4 linked regions of the Arabidopsis thaliana genome follow. The protein of the gene in region 1 binds, or shares a complex with, the protein of each later gene. Each region holds a gene or a part of one and is shown in the gene's direction. Other genes may lie near its edges. The genes, in order: U2B'', SR45, RSZ22a and U1-70K.

Region 1 (4,830 bases):
GTGATGTTTTGAACAGAGTAGATCATCATATATATATTCTACAGAAAACATAAAAAAAAAATAAAATCAATACATTTTGAAAGATTATACATAATTCTTAGTTTTTTTAAAACAAACATTTGAGAGGGATGGAAATGCAAAAAAAAAAACCTTTATAAATCAATTCATGTCAAAGGTATGTTCACTAAAAATGTATCTTTTCCAACAAACACATATGTTAAACCATACGTTTTTCCAACCTAATGTAAGTAACACATTTACCATTTTCTATTAATTTATTAATCAAGATCAAACATCAAAAAAATGTGTTATTACTTTTTAGTTTTTTTTTTTGCATTTCAGTTTTGTGTGAAAAAAAAAACAAGAATTGGTATCTCAAGAACGTAAAAGAAAATTATCATTACTATTTTATTATCTTTGGCTTCTACATCCAATTATTTACTTGCTTAATTTTATTCATCTGAATTATTTTTTGGTGTAAGAAGAATGTTTCGCCGCAAAAAAAAAAATCTGATCCGACATCATTAGAACAAAAAAAAACATTGGCGTTGAATATAAGCTGCTTCTCTTGTTCTTCTTCTACCTTACGCTTCTGACTGTTATTAGAGACTATGTAAATGGCTGATTCCGAGACTCCGTATCACCCCGACCCTGAGGATCTCCGGCGTATACCAGTCGATCTCTTCGCTTCCAAAAAGCTTCCCGGACTTTCCTCCGGCGATCTCGGATTTGCCGATTCTTCCGAACATCTCGTCTTCATCCTCCGCAAATCTTCTTCCTCCTTGAAATCTCTCCTTGATTCCTCCGGAGTTCCTCTCTTCTCCATCTCTCGTCTCCACGTAAGCCTCCTTCGTCCCAAATTTCATCGATTTTGGCAATTCTCATCGCTACTTGTTTAAATCTCATTATTCATTACATAGTCCACACGATGTTTATACTTTTTGATTGTTTGGGTTTTGTTAGTTAGTCACTGGCTTGAGATATATCATAAGAACACTTACAGATCTTTGTATATGTATTGGAATGTAGAATGGAGTGTGGGAATTACATAAAGGAGATGTGGAAAAGCGTAAGGATTTGGTTCTAACGGTGAAGCGGACATCGAAAAGATTCAGTAAGACAGAGTCAGAGGTCTCTTTTGCTGGAGAATCGTCCGAAAATCTTGTTATCAAAGGTGTTCCCTTTCAGAAATCTTGTACCATTTATAGTCAAGATTCCATTGTTGCACAGGTAAAGATACTCATCTTCTCCCAATTACAGCACTATTGAACATTCTATAGCTAGACAAGAGTCAATACCGTGTTATACTGGTTTTGATTACCGGGTTCAAAACTCATCGTTTGGATCATGCTTGCTGATGGATAAACAACCAACCCTTTGTTTCGTTCATTTGAAGTCGGATTCATTAGGCTTGTAAAATTTGCTTGGATTCTAATACACTTGTTTTAAAGATTTTTGTTGTTGTTGTTGTGTTTGAACATTTGCCTCAATCTGATTTATGTTCCTTTAAATGTGGTGGCAGACGAGTTTGATGTACAAGCTGAGACAGATTTACGTAGGGAGAAGCAAGTTCCGGTTAACGATATTTCCTGGATCCATCGATCATTCACTAGTAGTCGCAATGGTTGCCATATTTCTTCAAGGATGAAAGTGAAACATCCTCGATTTATTTTCTCAGTGTAAAGAAAAATGTAACACAGAAACAAAAAGGCATTTTAGTACATTGCATTTTTAATGCCTTTTGATTCAATCGGCTCACACGTGAATTGTATTATCTATCACATGAATATTGAGATATACTAAGGTCTAAGGTTAAATCTTTTTTCAGAACAAATTTGCAAGCTCAGCTGGAAAAATACAACATCATTTACATTATTTTAAAAAGTTGTTGAACATTTGAATCAAAATGATTCACAAGACTTTTGTTGGAATTTTGCAATAAAAAAATTGATCTCGAGTCTATAAAAGTCCAATCCCGACCACTCATTCTATTTCCGGTTCAATTCTGTCTAGCCGGTCAAATTCAAATCCGGTCCATCCGGTCGGCTCATTCACGTTGGTACAAAAGTTTAGGAAATCGAACCAACAAACTAAACGGCGTCGTTAAATAGTCTGATGTTGAAACGCAGCTATTTCTTTTACTCTTCTTCGTCTCTCTCATTCCCAGTTCCCACCATTAGGGCTCTCTCTAAATTCCTCAGTCTCGAGAATCTTCATCGTCTTCACGAGCTCACTCGAAGATGTTAACGGCAGATATACCACCGAATCAATCAATCTACATCCAAAACCTCAACGAAAGGATCAAGAAAGAGGGTAAACTTCTCTTCTCGTTTAATCTAATTCGTCAAGTAAATTTCCAAATTCTTAGATGTTGAAACCTCCATGAACTTCCTGTACCAATGATTCAAGCTTCTACAGTACTGAATGTTAGGGTTTTTGCTTGTTTTTAGCTTATATAGAGTGTTCGTTTCTAAATACTAGGGTTTCAGAATCGTATTGAATCTAGTGACAAGGTTATAAGGAAGATATATATGTTGGTGTTGTCTGTTTTCGCCATTGTATGGATAATTGTTATAGACGTGTGAAGTAGTGTTGGCTCAGGGCAGTATCATCAATCTCATGCTTTATCTGACTTGGTTTTTGTTTTCTCAGAATTGAAGAGATCTCTTTACTGTTTGTTCTCTCAGTTTGGGAGGATACTTGATGTGGTTGCTTTGAAGACTCCGAAGCTCCGAGGACAAGCTTGGGTTACTTTTAGTGAAGTCACTGCTGCTGGTCATGCTGTTCGTCAGATGCAAAATTTTCCCTTCTATGATAAACCAATGGTCAGTATTTCATCACTCTTGAGTATATCAATCTCTTTATAGTTTCCATGAAAGTGATCTTCTATGTGTTGTATAGATCGATAGAAGCAAATCGTTAGTGTGTTTGTGTAATTGATTACTAACAATTTGTTTTGGAACCTTTGACCTTTTTCTATTCCCAATCCATTGGTAGTCATATATGTGTTTAGATTTTGTTGCTGTTGATGAGTAACCAATGATTAGTATCCACTACCTTTTCTGTCTTGAGTATATCAATCTCTGTATAATTTCCCTGGAAGTGATATTCTGTGTGTTGTATAGATTGATTGATGCGGTAAAAGCAGAAATCCTTAGTGTGTTTATGTGATTACCAATGATTACCTTTGACTGTGTTATTCTCAATCAACATTTAGTTATATGTGTGTTTGGATTTTGTTGCTGACCTTCTCAAATCACATTCTCTTATGATTTCTGTTGTCAAAATGTTTGTTCTGTTTGATATATACATTGTTTTTATAACTAAATCTTACCTCTTTCGATTGTTTGTAAACTATTCAACTACTTCCAATCAGGTTGAGATTTATTATTATTCATACTTTTTATGTGATCTTTTAAGTGCAGCGCTTACAATATGCAAAAGCAAAGTCAGATTGTCTAGCTAAAGCTGAGGGAACTTTCGTTCCAAAAGATAAGAAGAGGAAGCAAGAAGAAAAAGGTTTTAAACTTTATTTCTTCTTTTTGCATTTTGTCGTAGATGTTGGTTCAATGATACAACTATAAAATTTTCACTTGCATCTAAAGTTAACAAACTTCCTTTCTTACTTTCAGTTGAAAGAAAGCGTGAAGATTCCCAACGACCAAACACGGCTAATGGCCCAAGTGCTAATGGTCCAAGTGCCAATAACGGAGTCCCTGCGGTAAGTGTTCTTGTTCTCACCTTCATCTTCAGAAAAATCTTCCATTGTTGGATCATGTGAACCAAACTATTGTTATCTGGAGATGATGCTGATGTTTTGCGTTTTATCTCTGCTCTTCTTAATGCAGCCTTCGTTCCAGCCGAGCGGGCAAGAAACAATGCCACCAAACAACATACTCTTCATTCAGAATCTCCCACACGAGACAACAAGCATGATGCTACAGCTTCTCTTCGAACAGTACCCTGGATTCAAAGAGATAAGAATGATCGACGCAAAACCAGGAATCGCGTTTGTAGAGTACGAAGATGATGTTCAAGCTTCCATAGCTATGCAACCTCTTCAAGGTTTCAAAATCACTCCCCAGAATCCAATGGTCATCTCTTTCGCCAAGAAATGATAAGAGTCTTGTTTTTGTTTGTTTGTTGTCCTTTAAGACGATAGTACTGGACCAACCAAACCTGGTGTGTATAACCAACCAACGGTTCTATTGGTTAACGGATTAATCCGGTTTTGGTTTAATCATTGAAAGAGACCCTTGAAACGCGGTTTCACACTTGACGATTTATCACAAATTAGGAGACGACTCATCAAAAAAGAATATCTTACTGGTCAACCATTTTATAGAAATATTAAAATCAAAAATGATATTTAGGCCAAAGTAGAAAAAGACAAGAAGAGAGAGAAACAAAAAAAACCTTGCTCAATACGCCACCGTCGTCGTCTTTAACCCAATCTAAAAGCCTCTGTTCTTTTTTAGTTTTATCCTCTTTTTCATTTCAAGATCAATTTCATAAAAAAGTTTCCTTTTTTAGCGAATCCTCTGTTTTAGAAATCTTAAAGTTGTCTCCTTTATTAAAGACCATCATGTCTTCCACTTCTTTCACCGACCTTCTTGGTTCTTCCGGCGTTGACTGTTACGAAGATGATGAAGACTTGAGAGTTTCTGGGTCGAGTTTTGGTGGGTACTATCCAGAGAGAACCGGGTCTGGTTTACCTAAGTTCAAGACGGCTCAACCACCACCTCTTCCGATTTCACAATCTTCTCATAACTTCACTTTCTCCGATTACCTTGATTCTCCTCTGCTTCTCAGCTCCTCACACGTAATAAA
Region 2 (8,191 bases), on another chromosome or scaffold:
TGTGGGCAGAATCATCATTTGTGTATCTTGATAAGCTGGTCTCAAGTCTACGAGAAGAGGAGGGAAGTGTTCCTTTTCAATTTCATAACTTGACAGTTCTTTTGGAAGACAAAAGGTTGTCTGATGCTGTTTTCCAGTCAACTAGTGTTGAAATCATTGTTGATGGGTTCATAGTGGATAGCTTAGAAGTGGATATAGAAGAAGTGAATGTTGGTCATCAGGAACCTGAAGAAGAATCGGAAAACAGTGGTGAAATCAGTCTTGAAGCTGTCTACGAAGAAGATGATAATGAAGTCGAGCAGGAGAATGAAGAAGGAAAGGTAAACTTAGAAATTGTTGATGAATGTGATGAGCAGGCTGAGATCAAGATAGCTACAGATACAGAGGTGAACGGAGGTGAAAGGTATTCAGAATCTCTTTCTGAAGAAGGACATGGTGGCCAAGAAACTGATGTTGTTGAAGGGCAGGAAGAATATGAAGAAAATGACCAGAATAACATGGAAGAAGCTGAATCCGACGCACAACTGCTTGACGATGTGCAGTCTGCTGCAATCAGTAGTAACCAGCAAGAACAAACCGGAGTAGCCAATGTTGAAACTGTACAAGAAGAAGAAGGTGTTGGGGAAATTGCTGGAGGTAGCCTCAGTGTTTCAGAAGAAGCTACAGATGTTGAACATGACGGTAATGAAGTAGAAGAAGAAGAGAGTGGGTTTGGTGAAGTTGTTAATGATGCAGGTTCGGAGGACATTTTGTTGAGTGGCCAGAAGAAAGTGTTAGTCTTGTTTTCGACTATGATGGTTATACTTGCAGCAGTAGCAGCTGGTTTCCTATTAGCCAAGAAGAAGACAAAACCTGTGATGCTGCAACATGAAGATGGCGAACCAACAGCAATCTCTGCAACTAAAGTTGTCGAGCATGTGCCAGTAGAGAATCTGATCAGAGAAAGGCTTTCTTCATTGAATTTCAAGGAAGAAGAAGAAGAAGTTGGTGATGACAGAAAAAGAGAGGTATCATCATTCCCTTCTGAGATGAGTTTCAGCTTCAGTAAGAACAAACCATTACACAGCTGCAGCAACAAGAAAGATGATCTTAAAGAACATCAAAGCGGAGGAGGAGGCAAGAAGAGTAATGATAGCGGTGAATCCATGGCTTCCTCTGCATCAGAGTACTCCATAGGTTCTGTTTCATATGGAAGTTTCACAACATATGAGAAGATACAAAAGAGAAGTGGTCACGAAGAGAAAGAGATGATAACACCTGTGAGACGTTCAAGCAGGATCAGGAACCATCAACATTCTGGACAATGAGTTAGAATTAGCTTTTGACTTTATGATCTACTGATTTGTAGGAAGGCTTTTCCATCTCACTGAAGCTTAATTAGTATGTTGCTTTCTTAATTAGTAGGTTTGATTCTCTTCTTTAAAGTTTCTGGCTTTACTATTTGTTTAAGACATTGTACCCCAACCTTGTGGCCTAGTTTTAATAATATTGTTCATGTTATCTGAATCCTCTTCTTTGTATCTTGCAAAAACGATGGACAATTTTCAAACACCATGATTCATGATTGTAAAAGGTTTTGCAAGAATAGGACCAAATGGCGTTGGAAGTGTTTTATGATGATAAATCAGATTAGTTTATATAGATGTAGAAGTGTCAATTGGGCTGTCCAAAGCCCATTGGTCATGTCCACTTGGACCATTTTTTTCATGGGTTTTATTGGTTGGTCTTTAATGGACAATGGTCTAAAAATTTGTCCAAGACCATTAAAGACCATTGTCCAATGGTCAGCCCATGGCCAGCCCATACAATGATGTTTATATACAATGCATTTTCACACAATCTCGTCAAAAGCTCTATTTATAAAACCATAACATCAACATGAAATCAAACATGCATGTACCTGTTCTTCCCAGTCTTGTAATCAACCGTGACAACTCAAACACGCATCTAAGACTCTCTATATGCACCTACAAGTAAAGAAAAAAGCCTACAATGGCTACATGGAGAATGATTTAACAGAGAAACCCATTTCAATACTACTCCAACATCTAGAAATTGGAAACCAGAAGTGGCCATCTTCAATAAGCTTAGGTAAAACAATAAGCTTAAACAACATTTCCACAATGTAATCAATCACAAATGATTATAAGTAAGAGACAAAATCCAGAATCAATTCCAAACCAAAATCTGTCATCCAAGTTGCAACCTTAGACCGGATACCATCACAACCTATAACAATCTGTCAAAGACATACATCATCAAATCAGCCATGTACTGAGAATAATAAACACATAACCATAGGCTCAGAGCTTAAGAGAACAACCATGTACTTGTTTCTTCCCAGTCTTGAAACGTTCATGCAAGGGTGGTGTTTGTGTCCTCTTGACCTTGGATCTCATCAGTTTCTTCAATAAGAAAAACCGAGCTATTAATCTAAAAGCTGCAGTCCAAAAGCCATATAAGTTTACTATTATAAACGAGTTCAAGATGTGAATATTACCAACTTCTTGAAATCCACGAAACCAGTTTCTAGTACATAGGAGGGCTTGCACATTAGTAGGTAAAAGGCAGCTTCTATATTTGTTAAGCACACGACTACCTATACTAAAAGCTGATTCCGATGCCACGGTAGTGATCGGAATGCTTAAGATATCACATGCCATCGATGACAATTCTTTAAAACGCGAGACATTGTTTTTCCAATATGCAATAACATCCATATCTCTAAAAGAGACCATATCTAACACAGGCTCTTCCAAGTACATATCTAATGGTGATTTTCCAGTTCCATTTCTTTCAGAAAAGTAAGAGTAAAACCCCTGAAATATGACCAACAAAACAAAATTCTCACTAAGTATAAGAATGCATTTTCAGAAGCATTATGCTTTAAAATGCTTTGCATAGTATCATTTGCAGAAGCATTATCTACAGTTAAAGTAAAAACTTTCTTCTCAATTCCCCAATCTTTCAACAGCTCACTAAGCTTCATTGCTATAGCTACTCCAGAATGTGGAGGCGGGAAAGCACAGAAAGATAAGATCTTCGTTTTCAGAACACCATCAACATCTACATAATGAGCTGTTAAGCAAATATAACTTTCAACAGTTAAAGCTCTCCACAAATCTGTTGTTAAGCATATTCTACCCGGGATTATAGCTAACTTTTCCTTAAGCTTAATTTTCTCTCTTTCATAAATCTTGTAGACATCAGAAGCTGCAGTATTTCTGCTCCAAAATTCTATATAAGGGTTAGCATATGTAAAGGCTTCTCTAATTCTTTCATATTCGACAAACGAATATGGAAGATTATGTTGAACTAAAGCCACTGCAATCATTTCTCTAAAGACCATCATATCCACCTTTCTGCTAATTCTAGGTGTACTTCCAGGAGTCTTCTCACAAGATCTCATATGACGATTCATGGTATTAGTACCATTTCGTCTCAGATTCAAGTGATAAGTCTGCTCACAATATTTGCATGTAACCTCAGTTTTCCCATTAGGATATTTCTGTCCTCTATCGAAGTTTTTCCAGCATGCAGCACGAAATCTACTTACACTACTTTTACCTCTCTCAGCTGTCCCTGAAGAAGCAGTTTCATGAGGTAGTATCTGATCCATTTCTGGATCTTCATGGTCCATTTCTTGATCCTCAAGATTAAAGTTGTCTTCATCAACCAAGTTTTGAGTATCCAATTCCATATTTCTGAAACAAATAAAGACATACACACGTTTAGCAGTGATAAACAAATAAAGCATGAACTTGACTAAATCACTAGCCTTCTGGAATAATTAAGCATGAACTTACAACACAAAGGGTCTCTACATATTGATGTGCTTCAATTCATAATGAAATTCGAAATGGCGAAACATAAACAAAATCTGAAAAGTGCCCATTTGCTAGCTAGCTCTCCTCATATCCAAAATTCACAATTGAACTTTGGACAAACCCACAAGCTAGTAGAACTAACCGGAGTAGGAGTTGAGAGAGAGGTCGAGCTTGGTCGTCGCCGAGAGAGAGCTTTGTCGCCGGGAGAGAGAGCGTCGTTGCCGAAAGAGAGAGAAGAGAAAAAAATTTATGTGTTGAAAAAATTGATGGGCCAACCATAAACCGTGTGGGCTAGCCCATTAAACCCATGGACAAAATTGGTCTTTAGACCATATAGCCCGTTTTCATTACGGGCCGACCATGGACTGTCCATAATGTTGTGGACTGGGCTTAGCCCATGGTCAGATGACCATTTGACACTTCTATATAGATGTATGAATAAACCTTAATGGTTTCGGTGTTATTCAATGACTAGATTCAATCTAAGATACTTTGATTTTGAGATTGCTCTTAAGTTTGTACCAAGGCAACAACAATATCAACAAATTATGGGACAACAAGAGAGCTATAGAAAAATGGTATCTAATTGATCCTAATTGGATGGTGTACACGACCACAGACAATCGATTACAACATTTTATAAGTTGTTGAATTTTTTATGGGAGTTACTAGCTTTTCTGTTTGAATTTTCCTGTAGGATTTGAAGAACTTTTGATTAGTGACACATTCAAATCTGATATGAAAAATGGGAAAGGACACAAATTGAGCTCATTATGGTATTTATACTTTATAAAATGCTTTAAAAAACATATAAATCCCTCAATTTATCAAGCAAATAAAAACCTGCCACGTATCATCTTCGGTTTAATTTGCAGTCCGCGGAAAAAAAAAGGAGACTGGAAAAAAAAAGTCACAGTCTGTCTGTCTGTCTCTCTCCTCTAATCTTTTTTATCCGCTAGGGTTTTGAAGCAAGGTTTCTCGCGATTTTCTCGATATCTCTCGCCCATGGCGAAACCAAGTCGTGGCCGTCGTTCCCCCTCCGTGTCTGGCTCGTCATCTCGTTCCAGTTCCAGATCTCGTTCGGGTTCGAGCCCCTCCAGGTCTATTTCCCGCTCACGCTCCCGTTCTAGATCGCTCTCTTCATCTTCATCTCCTTCGCGAAGCGTCAGTTCTGGGAGTCGCAGTCCTCCACGTCGTGGAAAAAGGTTAGGGTTTCTTTCAATCACTTACCAATTGTTCGAATTGGATTTGTGTAATTTCGCTTTCATTCTTCTTGGTTCGTTCAGCTCGAATTCGAATTGATGTTCTGATGTATCTTCTTGTGTAGTCCTGCTGGACCTGCTAGGCGAGGTCGCTCTCCTCCTCCTCCACCATCTAAAGGAGCATCTTCACCTTCCAAGTAATATCTGACTCGTTCACATAAATATATTCTAGTGTTTATGCTTTCGTCATTACTGACTTTACAATCTTTTATGCTTTCAGGAAAGCTGTTCAAGAATCTCTTGTTCTCCATGTTGATTCTCTTAGCAGGAATGTGAATGAAGCCCATCTCAAAGAAATCTTTGGTATGTTGATTTCTCTTTTCTCTGTTTCTTCTGCTTCTTCTAATCTTACTACATGATAACTGTCTACACATGTCCGCTAATGTCATCAGTAGTGTATACGGCATTACGATCATCACTGGTCTTTTGTTTTCCTTGTGTTGGCTAAATGTTAAGTCTTATAACATGGCTTGGTTTCATGTTATTATTAGGCAACTTTGGTGAAGTTATACATGTCGAAATTGCGATGGATCGAGCTGTAAGTTGCTATTCTCTTTACTCTCTGTTGTTTACTTGCATCACTTGTTGAAATCTGCTCATAATTCCTTTGAATATTATTAACAGGTTAATCTTCCAAGAGGACATGGTTATGTTGAGTTCAAGGCAAGAGCTGATGCTGAGAAAGCTCAGCTCTACATGGATGGTGTATGTCTCTTTCCAATTATGAAATGCACTGTACTTGACATATTGACAGAGAAGATTTATGCATGTTTTTTTTTTGTTCACTGAACACAGGCCCAAATTGATGGAAAGGTTGTTAAAGCAACGTTCACACTACCACCTCGTCAGAAAGTATCTTCACCCCCTAAACCTGTCTCAGCTGCACCAAAAAGAGATGCTCCAAAATCTGATAATGCTGCTGCTGACGCTGAGAAAGATGGTGGTCCCAGGCGCCCAAGAGAGAGTATGTCAAATCCTTATATTTTGGTTATTTATAATTGTTGTAGTATATGCTTTATGTTGTGTTAATTAGTATCATCAATATGTGCTTAGCATCTCCTCAACGGAAAACAGGGCTTTCTCCGAGAAGGCGATCACCTCTACCTAGGAGAGGCTTATCACCTAGAAGGCGATCACCTGATTCTCCCCATCGCCGGAGGCCGGGCTCTCCTATCCGCCGTCGCGGTGATACACCTCCTAGACGTAGGCCAGCATCACCATCTAGAGGCCGTTCTCCATCTTCTCCCCCTCCAAGACGATATAGATCTCCTCCAAGGTTAGTTATGGCACCATCTGTTTTGTCTGGTGTGTTTCAGATTCGATAGCTCACCTTTTATCTGTCAGCAGGGGCTCCCCTAGAAGAATTCGTGGCAGTCCTGTTCGAAGAAGGTCTCCTCTTCCTCTAAGACGAAGGTATGTCTATTTGGTACCTGAATTACACCCTTAGTAATCGAAGTTTAGGAATCACAGCTTTATAGACTATATTACTCAGTAAATTAGACCGGGAAAAATGTGTCAGTTTTATATATGTTTTGTATTCGGCGTGTTTCAGGTCTCCACCTCCAAGGAGACTACGCAGTCCTCCCAGAAGATCTCCAATCCGTAGGCGTAGCCGATCCCCAATTCGTAGGCCTGGTCGCTCTCGTTCAAGTTCCATCTCACCCCGCAAGTATGTTGGAACTCATTTAAACTTTTTTCTGGGGTCTCTCTCGTGGGTTTTATTTTGTTACAGATGCATAGCTAAGACTGATTCATAACAAGTTTTTAAGTCTTTCATAATTCATGAGTATACCCCAAGATCCTACATTGTCTTATCCTTTTACCTAGGTTTCTGACATACCAGCTCCTAGAGACGTTGATACCCAATATGACTAAGTTATATAGATCCGTCTGGGGTTTGTTCATGAATTAATTTTGTCTTTAACTGTAAGCAGGGGACGAGGTCCAGCTGGGAGACGTGGGAGGTCATCTTCTTACTCTAGTTCACCAAGTCCCAGAAGGGTAAGGGCTTCTTGCAGATCCCTTTTTAGCTATAAAATTTTTGATGCCTTGCGAGTTATATGTCTTGACTCTTGACTTTCTATCATTTGTGCATTATTAAACCTTACAGATTCCTAGGAAGATTTCAAGGAGCCGCAGTCCTAAGAGGTAAACACTTTCTGTCTTAACACTAATCCTCGTCTTAAACTGGAAACACTTTATAGTCTGTAGAATGCATTAATTGAAGAAGTTCCAATGTTAAGTTATGTATAGTAAAGTTAAGGGTTACCCCAATTCCTGATAAAAGACATAGCATAAACATCTGGGACCTATACTTTCTTGGTGAGTTTGGTGATGAAACAGAGAAAAATAGAATTGTTGTGTAGAAATTTTTTGCGTTGAAGTCTAATAAAAGAAAATGGGTTGTTGTTGGGTATGTTTAGGCCACTGAGAGGAAAAAGAAGCAGCAGTAACAGCAGCAGCAGCAGTTCACCGCCACCACCACCTCCACCTCGTAAAACTTAAAGGTGATAAAAATTAAAAAAAAAAAAAAAAAAACTTGAGTCTTGATGTAGCTCTCTTTCTCCATCTTTATCGTTATCATCTGTCTCAGCCTCTTTTCTTAGAACAGATAAAATGTTTACCAGTGACCAAATGAGAGTTGTGGTTTTTGTAGTGTTTGGATGTTTAATCTTCTTTTGTGGATCTCCTCATTAGATGCAACGATAATGACTTGGTTCTTTTAGCTGGTTGTAATTCCCTAATATATTCAGTCTTGTTGAAGAATGGCTGGCTCCTTCACCCTTTTCTTATTATTTTAGTTAAAAGAGAAAGAAATCCATACAAAGACTGGTGATCCAAATACACAAGAAATTGGTTTTTTGTTTCATTCAGAGAAATAAATAATTATAATTTAAGGGCTCCTAAGATGCACAACAACAATTTTGCATCAAACCATGCATCTTAATGAGAGTGCACAAACTTTTATTTAAAACGAAAAATAGAGTTTTCCTCAACTTCACACAGTACATACCACTCAAAGAAAATAAATATACATACCACTCTGCAAGTGCCCATATGGGGAAGATGTTTCTGTAGGTAACATAGTTTAGAAAACAGTTC
Region 3 (6,791 bases), 2.5 Mb from region 1:
GAAACCATGGAGTAGTAGTAATCCTCCGGGTAAGTGGCACGTATGGTGCGTGACTCGCCGTGAGAAGAGCCACGGTGATGGAGGAAATCGAATTGCTCTAACAAAAGAGTCTTCTGGCCTCTTTTTGCCAGCTGATACGCGGCGGAGCTTCCCATAACTCCTGCTCCAACGACAATCACGTCGAATCTGCCGTCGTCGGAATATTCCATGAGGAAGTGAAAGAGAGGCTTGGTTTGATGTTTGAGAAGCGTGTGGTTGTTGTTGATGCTCTTTAAAAGCGACTATGAAATTATCAAAACATATATAGATAGTGTTTGACAAATGGACAAAACTCCACTTATATAATCACGAGATTCACAACATTGTGTCACGCTTTCTTCCCCTTTCTTACTGAACTCTTAAATATTTTAACGTACGTCGTTATTTACTAGGCGGAAAAACAAAACAAAAATTATTGTATTATTTAACACTTAAATAAATAAAAATATTTATATTATTAAGTTATTTGTAAGAAAAATCCGCGAAATTAACATCTCATTATTTATAATTTATCATATTTTGCAAGTAAACCTCAAAATTCTGGCTATCTACCAAATAAACCTAATTTTGGTTATCTACCACCAAATAAGCCTAAATAATAAATATTTCTCTAGCACAAAAACTTTGGGACTTGGTTGTAAATGATTTTATATGTTTTTTAACCTTTGTAACTATGGAATATTCGATTTCGTAAGTTTAGTGGGCAACTTTGTACTAAATAAGGCACGATATTACTTTCACAACGTAAACTATTTCGGAATGGCCTATAGTGGTAATGATGGCCTATTTTTCGGCCAAAACTGTTTCAACATAAACTAGTGGTAACGTAAACTATTTCCCTCTTCCTTCCCGTTCGCTGAACAAAAACGTTTTTGTTAATTTAATAGTTTAATAACGTTAATAACATTATCTCTCAATCTCCTATAATGTGAATACACAAATAATATCGTTAATCTCTATGATTTTTGGTAAGTAAATAGTCTCTCAAGCGAATTTTAGATGTGTAATTTCGCAAAATTTAGTTGGTTTTCTAATGCTATATATTAATCTCTAAAGATATTTGTTGGAACTGTGAAGTTGCATGGGAGTTTCAACAAAATGCAAAGTTTTTTCGATCCAAAATTTACCTTCTAAATGTGTGATTCTGTTCCAAATTGGTAAACACGAGTCGTTTTTTTTTCTGACTAGAAAAAAGTTACAACGGATGTATATGTGACATTTCAAATTTCATGATCTTAAAAAATGGAAAGTAAATTAGAGGGATGATAGCAATATTAAAAGGATGACATAGCGATCGTGAATTTGTGATTGTGAAGTTCTTGACCAATTGTATTCTTGGGGAATATGGTGGAATGAATATAGAGTCACTTCGCTCTTTTCTTAGTGCTCACCATTCGTTTTTGTTCGAAAAGACAAAATCCCTTATCCACTGGTTATTAGTTTATTAACAAAAATCTTACATTTTATATGAATGGGACACTCTTAAAAGAATATTTAGCAATTTGTAGGAACAACTTGTACATTCTAAAATCGATATTTAGCTTATAATTTTAGAATCACTCTTCTTTTTCTTTTTGAACAATAGAATCACTCTTTTTTGTCCATATTTTAGGATTTAATTAGAATAACATCGAAACTAATTTCTATGATTTATGTAATGTCATTTGCAAGATGTCTTCACCAAACATAGAAGCAGTGTTGATTACCAAAAAAAAAACATAGAAGCAGTGTTTCATGTCTTAAAACCTATAAAAAAGAGAAAAATTATAAAATAGAGCACGTAATAATTTATAAATTTTATTAATTATTTCTCAAAATAAGTCGTAATTGAGTGCCGTTTTAAAAATCTTGAGGTGAGCTTCTCTCCATCTGAATAGAAAGAAGAGAAAAGGAATAATTCTTGTCGTCATAGTTCAAACTTCAAGTGGACTCTCGACGACATTTCAATAATACACACATACTTATCTAATCCTGTCACTGAATGGAGTCTTGGTTCAAGAAAGGTGCGCACTAAATAGTAAATAAAAAACTACAAAATTATATCATTGCTCTTGGGAATGATTGGATGTTATAGGCTAATCCCAAATTAATATCTGGACATAATATATTGTCACGTCCGGTTTTTGTTAAGTGACTGATTTAAAAGTGAAACTCATAAGTGATAAAGCACAAAATTACGATTTAGCCTCTATTGTCTTTTCCAAACAAACCATTCTAAACTAGAACCATGGTTCAAGTGGTAAAAGTTTTTATTTGAATATTGTGATTTTGGGAGATATAGGCATGGGCAAAAAAACCCAATAATTTTAATAACTGACCAAACTGAACCGTATCAAAACCAAAGTTCTTAAAATAATCGAATGGTTAGTTGTTAATGAGAGAAAGTTACACTCGAAAATTAGAAAAATTATCAAGTAATATACTTATAAATGATTAGTTTCATTGCCAATTGGTTTTAAGTTAGAAACTCATCTTAAACCCAAATATGTTATTAGTAAAATAAGGGTGATTCAAACCATTTCTTCTCTAGAAAAAGCATTAGAAGAGCTAAAGATGCACTCAGTTAATAATGCTAGGATGATGCTAGGATTATTAGCATTAGAAGAGCTAAAAGGTTGTATCTTAGCCTCTTTAATAATGCTAGGATGATGTGATGGAAATATGTTGGTAGCAGAAGGTGAACTTCGAGGCATGAGTGGTTACCATGCCGTTGTCATGGTCATAATTATGTTCATTTGTACACACCTACTAGCATTACGCAAATAAATAATAGTGTCAAAATTGGTTTTTATGGTTATATCTTTGTTTGCCTATCGACTATATATCTAGTGATCGATTCCGATGAATAAAGTAGAGGATTGGTTAGGCCTACAAATAGGCTGATGCATCTATTGTCTAATTTGTGATGCTTAATGAGTGAATTATTATTATAAATAAAAATTTGAACGAAATAGTTTTCTTCACTTAGTTCAAAAACTAGAGGTAATAGTCTCTCTCTTTTTTTTTTTTTTTTTTTTTGGGTCAAATAGTCTCCCTCTTAAGTTTTATTTTCCTCTCTCATCCTCATCATCTGAGATGTATGGGTTAGTATATACATAAAAGTATGAGCATAAAAAGAGCTTTCTTCATTTACATAAAATATTCAGTGGACATAGAAAAGAGCTTTCTTTATATTTTTTAATTAAAATTTGAATTTACGACGAGATTTCAATTTGGGGTTTAGAAACAGTGTTTTTCTCAGGATCTCTACTTGTGAAGTTTTCGCTTGTGTTTTCTTAGTGTTTTCTCCTTGTGTTGTGTTGTAGTTTTTGGGGATTTATGTAGATTTCAATTTCTTTTTTTTTTGTATTTTCGGTAAGTTTTATCAACTTTTTTTGAAAATCGTATAAATACTTAAGAGTGATACTCATTTTTTTTTTGAATTCCTTTTATATGCTGAGAGCTTTTTTTTAATTTTGAATTATTATTATTTAACATCTGACATTTTAATTTTATAATCAGTAATTGCATGAATATGAGGCATTATTGTTACTGTACCATATCGCATGCGGCCCATTTTAAGCCCAAATCAAGGAATAACTTTTGAAGGACATTTAAAGTTGACCCACAAAAAATAACTTTCATCTTCAATTTCGAATCGATAACCCTAATTTCTCACAGACGAGCAAGAGAAAGAGCCAAAGCCGTTTCTTCAGGTAAATCCCGATCTCCGTTGTCACTTCTTTACTCCAGATTCATTCGTAGTTTCGATCTATAGATTTCATCTTTTTGAATTCATCGCTTTCAAAGTTTTTGAATTGAAGCCTTTTGTTGATAGGTAACTTGAGGATGTCGCGTGTGTATGTTGGTAATTTGGATCCGCGAGTTACTGAACGTGAACTCGAGGATGAGTTTCGTTCCTTTGGTGTGATCAGGAGGTACATAAATTGACTCCTTTTTGGTTTTTAGTTGATGTAAAGTGTGTGAATTTGCATTTATCCTCATTGTTCTTTTGGTGTCTGTGCAGTGTCTGGGTTGCTAGAAGACCTCCTGGTTACGCTTTTCTTGATTTTGAAGATTCAAGAGATGCCCGTGACGCCATCCGTGAAGTAGATGGTATTCGTTGGTCTTCTATTCTACTGGTCTGGTTTTATGAGTTGTTATGAGTTGTTATGAGTTTGATATATATATGATCTATATTGTTATGGTAGGCAAGAATGGATGGAGGGTAGAGCAGTCTCATAACCGTGGTGGTGGTGGAGGTCGTGGTGGTGGTCGTGGAGGAGGTGATGGTGGTCGTGGACGTGGTGGTTCTGATTTGAAGTGCTATGAGTGTGGTGAGTCTGGTCACTTTGCACGTGAATGTCGTTCTCGTGGTGGTTCTGGTGGTAGGCGTCGTAGCCGCAGCCGTAGTCGCAGTCCTCCTAGATACAGAAAGAGTCCTACCTATGGAGGACGAAGGTTATTGTCCCTATTCTTTCTGATTGACGATTTGCAACTAAAAGAAATTGGTCTACCTCATTGATTTATTACCTTGTCTTTTGGTTTCACAGAAGTTACAGCCCTCGTGCTAGATCTCCTCCTCCTCCAAGACGTCGTAGTCCTTCTCCTCGTGGTCGCAACTACAGTAGGTCACCACCACCTTATAGAGCACGTGACGAGGTGCCATATGCTAATGGGTAAAACTCCCCTTGCTCTTGAGTCTACTGTATCTCAATCAATATAAGAAATTGAAACTGAACTAGTGGCATTATCGTCCCAAAGACTTTTTTGTTAGACGTTGTGTTAAAAAACAGAGTCCATGTGGCTGATAAGTTTTTGTATTTGTTTATGCAGAAATGGTCTGAAAGATGTGCGCAGAAGCCGGAGCTGAGTGTTACTTGTCTAGATAGCAAATTATGGGATCAGGAGACAACTATTTGCTTGTGACGTCAAGAGGAGAGGAAATTAGTATCTGTGAATTTCACTAAGAGAATATGTTTTAGCTGTGTGGTGGATTGGATATGCTTGCTACTTTTGAATTGCTGGAAAGCTTCTTATTGCGTTTGGATTATGAAGCCATAGTTGTATCTGCCGTTAGGTAAAGTACTTTTAAATATCTACCCATGTTCTTAAAAGACATAAACAAAAGCTCTGCTAAAAACCTATGCATTTTCTTTGTTTTTTGTTCTATCATCTCGAGGTTTCTTCAGGTTTCTACTGCTTCATTGCTTATCTGCTTTTGGCTTCTTGGTTAATTTGGTCGGCCTGCTATGGGATCTTCATAGTAGTTTACCACAACTTCTGCTTCATTGCTTATCTGCTTCTCGCTTCTTCGTTATTTTGATCTGCCTACTTTGGGATCTTCATAATTGTTTACCACTACTTCTGCTTCATTGCTTAACTGCTTCTGGCTTCTTGGTTATTTTGATCGGCCTGCTTTGGGATCTTTATGTTAGTTCACATCTACTCTGCTTCTCATCTAGATGCTCTTATGTTTGAAAACTTCATCGGCTCTGATGATTGCTGGTCTTGCTTTTCTTGAACTTAAAATGGCCGAGGAGTTGCACTTGCTACTCTGGCAGGTATTTAATACCTTTCAGGCAGGCTTCGAAGAAACTTGTCTTACGGTGTAGAATAGTTTAGAGTATGTAGAACGTCTCTGCTTTGTTTGAGGTGGGCACTTGGATAAACACTTATCGCCATCTGCAATAGTCATTCCTTTGGTTTCATCACGTTTGGTACATGGACTAATCTTTAAACGAGAGATTTTTCTGCTCATTGGTTTCAATTTCATCATGTTTGATTCAAGGATCATTCTGTCTTTATTGAAGGCTTTTTGGCTGCCTCCTCTTCTGATGATGCTTTGGTTTAAAACCCTAGTAAAAGGAGTAGATTTTCATAAGTTTCTTATCTTTGTCCTGTTTTGTTGTGTCCTGAAAATACTTATTTTTTATGAAAAATAATTTACAGATATCCAACTTCATGAGTTTGTTCACTTTTTATATTTAGCAAAACTTTGTTGTCATATGTTTTACTTATCATCATAATCAACTAAACATGATGACGACGATATCTCCTAACAACTAGAATCGAGCAATTTTGTGTTCGTACTTATTCAAGTGACTAGATTTGAAGTTGTTATTTTTGATGAAACATGTACTGAGTATTGATATAAAACATGTAAAACATCATTGACAACATTTTTCATTCTTTTTGGACTTTAAATGATAGAGATAACATAGGTGAGACCAGTTTACACGAAACTCCTTAAGTAGGGATGCATCATACAATGGCAATATAAATCTGCTTCAAGTAAATCTTGTGCCGGTCCCTGTGAGGAGAAGAAGCTCATCAAGAAAATCACTTTAGACACTCAAAACCCATAAGATAGGCTGCAAACACCACGGTAAAAGCTCGAGCACCAGAGAGAGTAGTCTCGTAGAAAATTTACCTTAAAGATTCAATAGGTGAAATAGCCTGACCCTTCTGAGGCGGCCAAGTCTGAGTTGGTCCTTGCTAAGGAAGGCATTTCACCTTCATTTTTTGCAATGGCAGGTATATCTTCTACACGGTTATTTTTGATAAAATAAATAGGTAGTCCTCTCCCTACACGATTCATCTTCTTAAACCAGTGACTGATGGTCTCAACTCCTAGATAGGAAAAGAGTACCGTCAATGATCCACCAGCTACAGAGATAATAACCGGAAATAACCATCGAGTTCCGGGAAAATGCGGTATGGTCACCAAAGATGCCGCAACATAAGCCGTTGCCATAAACCCTACAGAAACC
Region 4 (8,384 bases), on another chromosome or scaffold:
CGACTTAAAGTTTTGGAAAAATAATACCCATGTGATTAAGAAACAATCACGTAACCTCCATCCCTTAACATGCCGACATCTTCGTCGTTTTCATTTCCACCGTCGGAGGCACCGTCTTCTCCTTCAGTGATCACCATCTTCATAATCTTTTCTTGATTACAAAATCTATAATGCGGAAGCTTTAATTATGATCCACAAAGATCGACTGCTCTGATACCATGTAGAATAAGGTATTGAACTGACTTGATTTTATTGATTCACAAACTATGGTATTTATATACAATGATCTCTATCAAGAGATAAACATAAATCCCTAAAATATAGGTTAGAAACTCTATCATCAAAGATATTGTACTAATCCTAATCGGATAACATATATCCCCAATAAGGCGCCTAAGTTCAGGTGCGACAAGGCTCCAACAATTTCTACTACGATGGCCAAACGCAGTTACCAAGGGGAGTCATCAGTCCCATTATATGAATACATAAATCTGAATGATAAAATTGCATACCTATGAATCTATGATAATTGGCAACGTCTTCTTCTTGTGGAACACGCAATGGTACCCTCCCCGAGTGTTAACACACATGCTACCTTCGCAACAATATTTGTGACGTCCATTATTGTTGAGTATTCTACACTCGTCCATATCTGTAGATGAAAAACCACATAATTATAATAAGCAAGCATTTTCCACAATACAAGAAAACAGAACGAGTCAGTTTCTCACTTTGCATCCACCTAAAAGATCTTATGGGTTACATTGTAACCACTGGAACATGCACAAACTGAATATCCAATCTCGTACTCATAATCCGTCAGGTTATATATGGCACTTGCAACGGTGATGTGAGCACCCGACAGATGAGAGATTCACAGTTTGAATTGACCATTGTAGGTGGACTATCGTACGTTTCATCGCATAAATCCATCGAGTATCACTAATTTTTGAGGAAGGGTATATGTCAAACTCGTCTGTTAAAATTGCCACTTTGCACCCTCGCCTATTGTTGTGTTTCTACTATCCCCTTGTATACTAAGAGACCAGTTACATGCCCGATCACATAAGGTTCTTTCTTTCTGCAGCATCTATAGCCATTGCAACCTTTTTTTATCCATTCTCGCTTCTGGTGCTGTAGTGCACAAATGGAGACGCAACCAACTATTCTTGGCTCATTTTTTCTCAAAAGGCTTTGATGTTGCAACCAACAACAATTACGCTGTTAGCGCACGAGACCAATGGTAAAAGGTGTGCCCGTCAAGTTCAATAGATCTCCAACCTCGGTTCCATCATACTTAACAAAATCATTGGATGGAGAGCCACATCCTATGGAAGTGAATCAGTGATGGTCATTTGGAAATGCTTAATTTTTCTTATTATGGTTACTTTAAAATATTTAAAAATTTAGAGCCTGTTATTGTAAAAATAAATAAAATTGGAATCTATTTTAATTATGTTTTTTGTTAATGGATTTTAGAAAAATATGGGAGCCAAAGATCAACGAATGCCTACAAAACCAATAATTTGACATGTTAACAAAAAATTGTAAAATCCAAAAAAAAAGGTAATTGAAGCTGATAACCCTCTTGTTCAGCGAGTGGGTTAAAGTGTGACCGAGATATACGAGCACGGCATCGTTTTACGTATCGTGATCTGTTGGATCTCAACTCGGTTTTCTTAATAATCAGAATCCGGTTAGAGATTGAATTTGGGTTTTGTTAGTTTTGCTTCTTCTCTCTGCAAAAATCCTCCATCCGCTTCCTCACGAAAAACCCTAGCACAGCTCCGAGATCCCTTTTGTCGCCATGGGAGACTCCGGCGATCCTTTCTTGCGTAATCCAAACGCCGCTGTTCAAGCTCGCGCTAAAGTTCAGAACAGAGCCAATGTTCTTCAGCTTAAGCTGGTTCGTCTCTTCTCTCTAAATTCGCTGAATTCGTGATTACTCTCTAGATTTTAGTTTCGTTGTCTATTAGGTTTCTAGCTAATGAATTGGAATACTCTTAAGTCGTTTGATACTTGCTTCGGTTCTATTTTCGATTGCGTTGTAACACTCATCAGCTAGTTCTAAATTGAATTGAGATTCCGATTTTAGGTCATATGATTTGATTATATTGGTCTTGATTCTTGAGCTTGTTTTATAGTTTTGAATCAGTTTGATTGATATCTTGTTGCTTTAAAGCTGATATAATGGATCTATCTGATATGCAGATGGGTCAGAGCCACCCTACTGGCTTAACAAACAATCTCTTGAAGCTTTTTGAGCCACGTCCGCCATTGGAGTACAAACCACCACCAGAGAAGAGAAAGTGCCCGCCTTATACAGGTATCAACTTGTATATCTGATTATGTTTTCTTTGCTTTGGATTTGATTTTGTCTTGTGTATTGAATATAGGTATGGCTCAGTTTGTAAGTAACTTTGCTGAGCCTGGGGATCCAGAATACGCTCCACCTAAGCCAGAAGTTGAATTACCTGTATGATGATGCACCTTTAACTCTTTCGATTATTGCCATATTTTAACCCTAAATCAGTGGCTTATAGCTTTGTTTTGTTTCATTGTCCAGTCGCAGAAAAGGGAAAGAATTCATAAATTGCGACTGGAGAAAGGTGTTGAAAAGGCTGCTGAGGACTTAAAGAAATGTAATCTACTATATGTTATTTGTGTTCCTTTTAATGCCCTCTTAGGTTTGAGAATTCTTAGTTAATTTGTTTTTTTTTTATATGCAGATGACCCCAATAATGATCCAAATGCTACTGGAGATCCATACAAGACATTGTTCGTTTCAAGACTTGTAAGCTGTGTTTCTTTTTTTCTTACTGTTGAATGACTTTTGTTAGACATCTGAGTTATGTTGTGCTTAACTTTGGTCTGTTCTTGTCTTGCAGAACTACGAATCCTCAGAGAGTAAGATTAAAAGGGAGTTTGAATCTTATGGACCAATTAAACGGGTAGGTTATTCTGAGCATTCCCTTGCTGGTTCGGTAAGAATTTGTGTAATGGCTTCCCTCTCTAGAGCTCTTTGCTCAATTTGTTTTATTTTATCTACAAAAGTCTTCCAAGGTTAGAATTTTTCAGTCCCTTATAAATTTGCATCTTTTCTGCTAGACCAAAAGGCCATTCTACATTTGCTTTGTTTTGCATGCCTTCTTTAGACTGTGTAAAGCCATCAAGTCTCTTAGACCTTTCTCAATAACTGAATATATAGATGCATAAGTGCTTCTCATATAATGACACAGCTCCTCTCTCCATGGTGTTTGTTTGAGATGTTTTCGGTAAATTTGGCCTGGTATTTTTATTTCCTTGTCCCTTCAGAGAGCAAATACTTTTACAATGATATATCATATAGTGGTTATAGGCACACGGTTTACCTAATCAATTAGTTGTTTTCTGAATCTATAATGAGCTCAACTCATCCTGCTGGTAAGCAACTTATAAAATATTATCTGCCCATATCCCAAAGCCATTCAAATGCTTTATTTTCAAGCAACCAAGGTTGGATTATCGAAAACCCTTCTCTCTTTTCCTATCTTAACATCTATATATATTCAGTATCTGGGACTTGGGCTACTATGAAGGTGATCTGGTTCACTTTTTAATACATTTTTAGTTATCTAAGTTTCTATACCCTGGTAAGGGGTGGTTTATTAGACTCTTCAAAAATGGTAATTTTGCTGCAATACATCCATTTTTCTGCCAATTCTTGATGTGGGTGGTGACATTCTCGGATTTGGACACAACATAAAGGTTGCCTGCCTTATAGAGCTGCATGTTTGTTTGATATGAAACACTTTTATCTTGAATCTGATTTTGTTCTCACAGATTTGATTTGTTAATTGTCTTCTTCTGAAACTTCTCAGGTTCATTTGGTGACTGATCAGCTGACCAATAAACCCAAAGGATATGCTTTCATTGAGTACATGCACACCCGTGACATGAAAGGTGCCCTCACATCTCTTTTCTTTCAACCCTCTTTTATCTCCCTGAGATGTTTGCTCTTTATACTGATGTTGCATTGTGTTTTGCTACTCTTCCTACAGCTGCATATAAGCAAGCTGATGGACAAAAGATTGACGGCAGAAGAGTTTTGGTTGATGTGGAGAGAGGTAGAACCGTCCCAAACTGGCGTCCACGCAGGCTTGGTGGTGGACTTGGGACCTCAAGAGTGGGTGGTGGTGAAGAAATTGTTGGGGAACAACAACCGCAAGGAAGAACCTCCCAGTCAGAGGAGCCATCGAGACCACGGGAAGAGCGGTAAAGATATTTTCATTCGTACCAAACTCTTTTGCCTTGTGACTAATATTGTGCTGATAATGTTGTTACCTTGTCTCCAGTGAGAAATCTCGGGAAAAGGGAAAAGAAAGGGAAAGGTCTCGTGAGCTGTCTCACGAACAACCTCGAGAGAGGTCTCGTGACAGACCGAGAGAGGATAAGCACCACAGAGACCGAGACCAAGGAGGCAGAGACAGGGATAGGGACAGCAGACGTGATCGTGACCGGACCCGTGACAGAGGAGACAGAGACCGCCGTGACCGTGACAGGGGACGGGATCGTACTTCAAGGGATCATGACCGAGACCGCAGTAGAAAGAAGGAGCGGGATTATGAAGGAGGTGAATATGAGCATGAGGGTGGTGGTCGGTCCCGTGAGAGAGATGCAGAGTACCGTGGCGAGCCAGAAGAAACTCGTGGCTACTATGAAGACGATCAAGGGGACACAGACCGGTACAGTCATCGCTACGATAAAATGGAGGAAGATGACTTCAGATATGAACGTGAGTACAAGCGGTCTAAGAGATCAGAATCGCGAGAGTATGTTCGTTGATGTTTCATTCGGCTGTTTAAAACTCTAAAAACTTAAGAATCCTTTTTGTTTATTCTAAATCAAAACTTGATGCAATTCTGTTTGTTACCTCTGAACTTGATTGCTATTTTTTCTCTTTTGAAGTTTGTCATATTATTAATCAAAATCAAACCAACTTTAAAGTTGTGATGTTTTATTGATTATTTCTTATGCAGTACTACTATACATGTGATGATTTATGTGCCTAGAAACGGTCAATTATTAAACTTATTGGTGAAAACATGATTGAAATGTTATTTTATTTAGCATATAATAGATTGATATGTTTAGAGAGAGGATATATTGATAGTCGTGAATTTTTGAGATAATTTGAGGAAAAAAAAGGCTCCATTGCCGGGAATCGAACCCGGGTCTCCTGGGTGAAAGCCAGATATCCTAACCGCTGGACGACAATGGAATTTGTTAATGGTTTTCATTATGACATTATTGTTGAATATTTTGGTTTCACATTTGCTAGAAAACATTACTAAAATCCAAGGTCAAACACTTCGTACGTTTGAGTATTTTATATACACATATCTGTATCTATTTTTAGAATTATTATTATATACAAATACAACACGACTCTTGTTACTTAGGTTGGGACACATGCTCAGGGGTCGTATTCGTGATGGAATTGTAAAATAGATTTGCAATTATTTCTAAATATAAAAAGCAAGCCATATGATTTCTTAGATCTTTACACTTTTGTTTGGTTAATGATCGTTCTGATTGACGTAGTTACTCAATGTTAGCGCTTTGAATGTTTCTCTTTTCTTTTGGGAGTGTCAATGCCATTTTCATACATCTAGAGACCGAATAATTTATGTATTAACATGTGGATTTTCTTTTAAAACGTCATTAATGTGTAGACATATAATATAATATACATATGAATGTTTACACATCTTTCATTTTCTTTGTAAGCAATATTAGGCAACGTTCAAACAAAAATTTGCTTATGATGAAAGAAAATAGCAAGTAACAACACATAAGATGAATTTGAATATTTGAGTGACGACCCATCAACATTTTTTTATTTTTTTTGGTTTAATGACCCATCCACATTCATGAGCAGTACGTAACAATCGCTAACACATCTCAGCCCAACTGGCTTTATATCTCAGAAATGCTTATAAAAAACAATGACAAATAAAATATAAGAATAAGATCGGTGGATAAAAACACTAATTATGATAATAACAAAAATGAAATCTGGAAAGGGACCAGAGCCGAAAGTAAAAGGAGAATTTGCTATAATGTTAACCCCATGCGAAAACTTAAAGAGGATCCAACAAGCAACAACTCAACACTCTTCTCTTCTCTTCTTTCTCAACTTTTTTTTCTTCTTTTGATTATAATAATGCTTGTCGTTTATTTATGTATATTGTAGTTTGTAAAGTCTTTTTTTACTACAGTCAAATGCAAGCCATGATTTTAAATTGTTTCTTTATAAACAATCTAGAATTTGTCTTACTAATGTTTGCCATTAACCAAACATACACATAACTTTTGTTTCTTTTACTTCAAAATCATTTGCTTCATGGGGCTTTATCTTAAGTTTAGCCTCCTCTTTCCATTTCTTAGGTTTTTTCTCCACATAATTATGTTTTGTTTTGCTAATTACATAATTATGTTTTGTCTATAAAGAGCGAGTAAATGGTTACTGCGGGAAAAGAAAATCTCAAGAAAATATATACTTTCATGCAAACAACTAGTGTAAAATTATATATTATACGCAAAATAAACTCTGCATTGTGATGTGCTTTATCGCAAATCATTCCATAAAAATTGTTAGCTCAATACAATTTTCAGAAATTATACAATTTTCCATTTTTAAAAAGCCTACAAGAAAAATTTCGAAGTAGAAAAGAAAAAATCTAGCCGTATCATTTCGATTTAATCATTCATTTAGCATAACTAGCAAAACCCTTTCTGAAACGGAGAAGGTAAAGACAAAAAGAATAGAAGGAAAAGAGTCAAACATTGTGAGCAATGACTAATTCCAAAAAGTAGTGGGACGATATGATTCAAAGCATGAGAAATTTGTAATACATATAAACTTATATATCGAGCAAAGTAAAACCGATAGAGATGAAATAAAAAAATGAAATTGAAGGGAAAGAGAGCGACGTGTTGGTTGCGCTCGTGGGCAATGATTGAAATGCAATCATAACTTTTGCAGGTGGATGTGGGGGAACCCCCATGCACCCTTCTTCATATCTTCACCTAAATTTCTATTTTTGTAATCAGATTTAAACTTGCCATTATCGTATTTATGTGTAAGTGATCATGAAGTAATTTCATCCATAAGAAGTATGAGTGGTAATAGACTGAAGCTACTTACCATAGAGTACATGAATAGTTTTTGAGTTCACTGTTTTTTCTAATGTTATCTAATATACACGATTCCCATTTATGTTCAAAGAGTATCTTTTGGTTTGTATTTTACAACTTACGTCACATATTTTTTTTTTTAATTTTGAATGTGATCTAATATGGTGATCACTAATAAAATTTATCAAACTACTAATTGCAGTTATCATTTTTTGACGGTCAAGTCATTATTTTAGTGTTAAGATTTTTATTTAGTTATATTATTCGATTTTCTTATAACATTTGCTATTTCGATCATTTAATTATGGGTGTGATTGGTTTAAATTTCTAATATGGCTGAACCATATTAAACAAAAATTCATTACTCCGATTTACTCTTTTTTTACACCAAACAAACAAACAAAAAATATGTTAAAAAGAAACTAAACTAGAGTAAAATAATTCCATGTTGAGTAAGTCGATTGTCCACTTGTTTTGTTATCCTGAAATACGAAAGAAAATATCATATTTGGACGAACTACGCTTTACCAAAACAAAATTTGTCTTTGATAGGTAGAGAACTGGTTTATACATACTATCCATTCGTGTGCACGAAGGAGAGAAAAGGGAAGAATCTGATATGACAGAGATCGTAAAAATAAAATGTTGCATTAATTTAAAGGTATATTTGTCGGTCGAGAACTCGAGAGATACGAAGAAAAGCCAAAGTGATTGGAATCGATCTAATCTCTAGAGAGAACAAAGACAAGAATTAAAATAAAGAAACGTACCTAACAAGTATATGTATGATTGAGATTTTTGTCACATTGATTTGATAGAGATAGTGATGATCCCATTTGTTTCTAGCCATCTCTATCTCTCTCGATCCGACTAAACCTTTTAGTTCAGTCAACAAAATTTGACTTTTGTTAAGTCATATCAAATTTATGGATCGTCGACAAAAATAATTGAATCCAAGATTAATATACTAGCTACGTGCGCCACTAGATCGCGCCATTTAAATCAAGTCGGTCTATAACTTGGTTGGTCACTTTCTTTGTCTTTTTCCGAGTTTAGAGAATCAAATGAAACAGACATACAACAACAAAAAAGATAATTATATATCGAATTATATGCTAGTAATTGACAAAAAAAAAACATTAGAGAAAACTAATTTGAAGAAAACTATGGAAACGGTGCACATAAAAAAAAAAAAACTATGGAAA

What was found.
Region 2: U2B'' (region 1) and SR45 share a complex: the UniProt entries of both Arabidopsis thaliana proteins name them as parts of the spliceosome.
Region 3: U2B'' (region 1) and RSZ22a share a complex: the UniProt entries of both Arabidopsis thaliana proteins name them as parts of the spliceosome.
Region 4: U2B'' (region 1) and U1-70K share a complex: the UniProt entries of both Arabidopsis thaliana proteins name them as parts of the spliceosome.

What each region holds. Positions count from the first base shown.
Region 1 is NC_003071.7:12,904,845-12,909,674, reverse strand, and holds U2B'' (U2 small nuclear ribonucleoprotein B), read left to right. Parts: upstream 1-2,009; 5' UTR 2,010-2,240; coding exon 2,241-2,313; intron 2,314-2,652; coding exon 2,653-2,825; intron 2,826-3,425; coding exon 3,426-3,519; intron 3,520-3,632; coding exon 3,633-3,721; coding exon of another isoform or gene 3,722-3,781; exon of another isoform or gene 3,782-3,848; coding exon 3,849-4,118; 3' UTR 4,119-4,330; downstream 4,331-4,830. Other genes in the region: AT2G30270 (LURP-one-like protein (DUF567)), read left to right, coding at 618-839, 1,030-1,230, 1,523-1,648; WRKY25 (WRKY DNA-binding protein 25), read left to right, coding at 4,586-4,822. UniProt on the Arabidopsis thaliana protein: Involved in nuclear pre-mRNA splicing.
Region 2 is NC_003070.9:5,675,328-5,683,518, reverse strand, and holds SR45 (arginine/serine-rich 45), read left to right. Parts: upstream 1-4,666; 5' UTR 4,667-4,832; coding exon 4,833-5,032; intron 5,033-5,154; coding exon 5,155-5,226; intron 5,227-5,309; coding exon 5,310-5,392; intron 5,393-5,580; coding exon 5,581-5,627; intron 5,628-5,713; coding exon 5,714-5,794; intron 5,795-5,884; coding exon 5,885-6,053; intron 6,054-6,142; coding exon 6,143-6,365; intron 6,366-6,436; coding exon 6,437-6,502; intron 6,503-6,641; coding exon 6,642-6,791; intron 6,792-7,023; coding exon 7,024-7,090; intron 7,091-7,199; coding exon 7,200-7,237; coding exon of another isoform or gene 7,238-7,241; exon of another isoform or gene 7,242-7,332; coding exon of another isoform or gene 7,333-7,342; exon of another isoform or gene 7,343-7,512; coding exon 7,513-7,594; 3' UTR 7,595-7,671; downstream 7,672-8,191. Other genes in the region: AT1G16630 (uncharacterized protein), read left to right, coding at 1-1,307. UniProt on the Arabidopsis thaliana protein: Involved in 5' and 3' splicing site selection of introns, and may bridge the 5' and 3' components of the spliceosome. Isoform 1 is required during flower petal development and isoform 2 is involved in root growth.
Region 3 is NC_003071.7:10,445,970-10,452,760, forward strand, and holds RSZ22a (RNA recognition motif and CCHC-type zinc finger domains containing protein), read left to right. Parts: upstream 1-3,661; 5' UTR 3,662-3,734; intron 3,735-3,856; 5' UTR 3,857-3,867; coding exon 3,868-3,956; intron 3,957-4,045; coding exon 4,046-4,134; intron 4,135-4,229; coding exon 4,230-4,479; intron 4,480-4,571; coding exon 4,572-4,697; intron 4,698-4,854; coding exon 4,855-4,891; 3' UTR 4,892-5,215; downstream 5,216-6,791. Other genes in the region: AT2G24580 (FAD-dependent oxidoreductase family protein), read right to left, coding at 1-209; AT2G24600 (Ankyrin repeat family protein), read right to left, coding at 6,461-6,791. UniProt on the Arabidopsis thaliana protein: Probably involved in intron recognition and spliceosome assembly.
Region 4 is NC_003074.8:18,822,916-18,831,299, reverse strand, and holds U1-70K (U1 small nuclear ribonucleoprotein-70K), read left to right. Parts: upstream 1-1,615; 5' UTR 1,616-1,807; coding exon 1,808-1,906; intron 1,907-2,211; coding exon 2,212-2,326; intron 2,327-2,396; coding exon 2,397-2,476; intron 2,477-2,566; coding exon 2,567-2,642; intron 2,643-2,729; coding exon 2,730-2,794; intron 2,795-2,888; coding exon 2,889-2,951; coding exon of another isoform or gene 2,952-3,068; exon of another isoform or gene 3,069-3,860; coding exon 3,861-3,942; intron 3,943-4,040; coding exon 4,041-4,254; intron 4,255-4,334; coding exon 4,335-4,824; 3' UTR 4,825-5,140; downstream 5,141-8,384. UniProt on the Arabidopsis thaliana protein: Mediates the splicing of pre-mRNA by binding to the loop I region of U1-snRNA.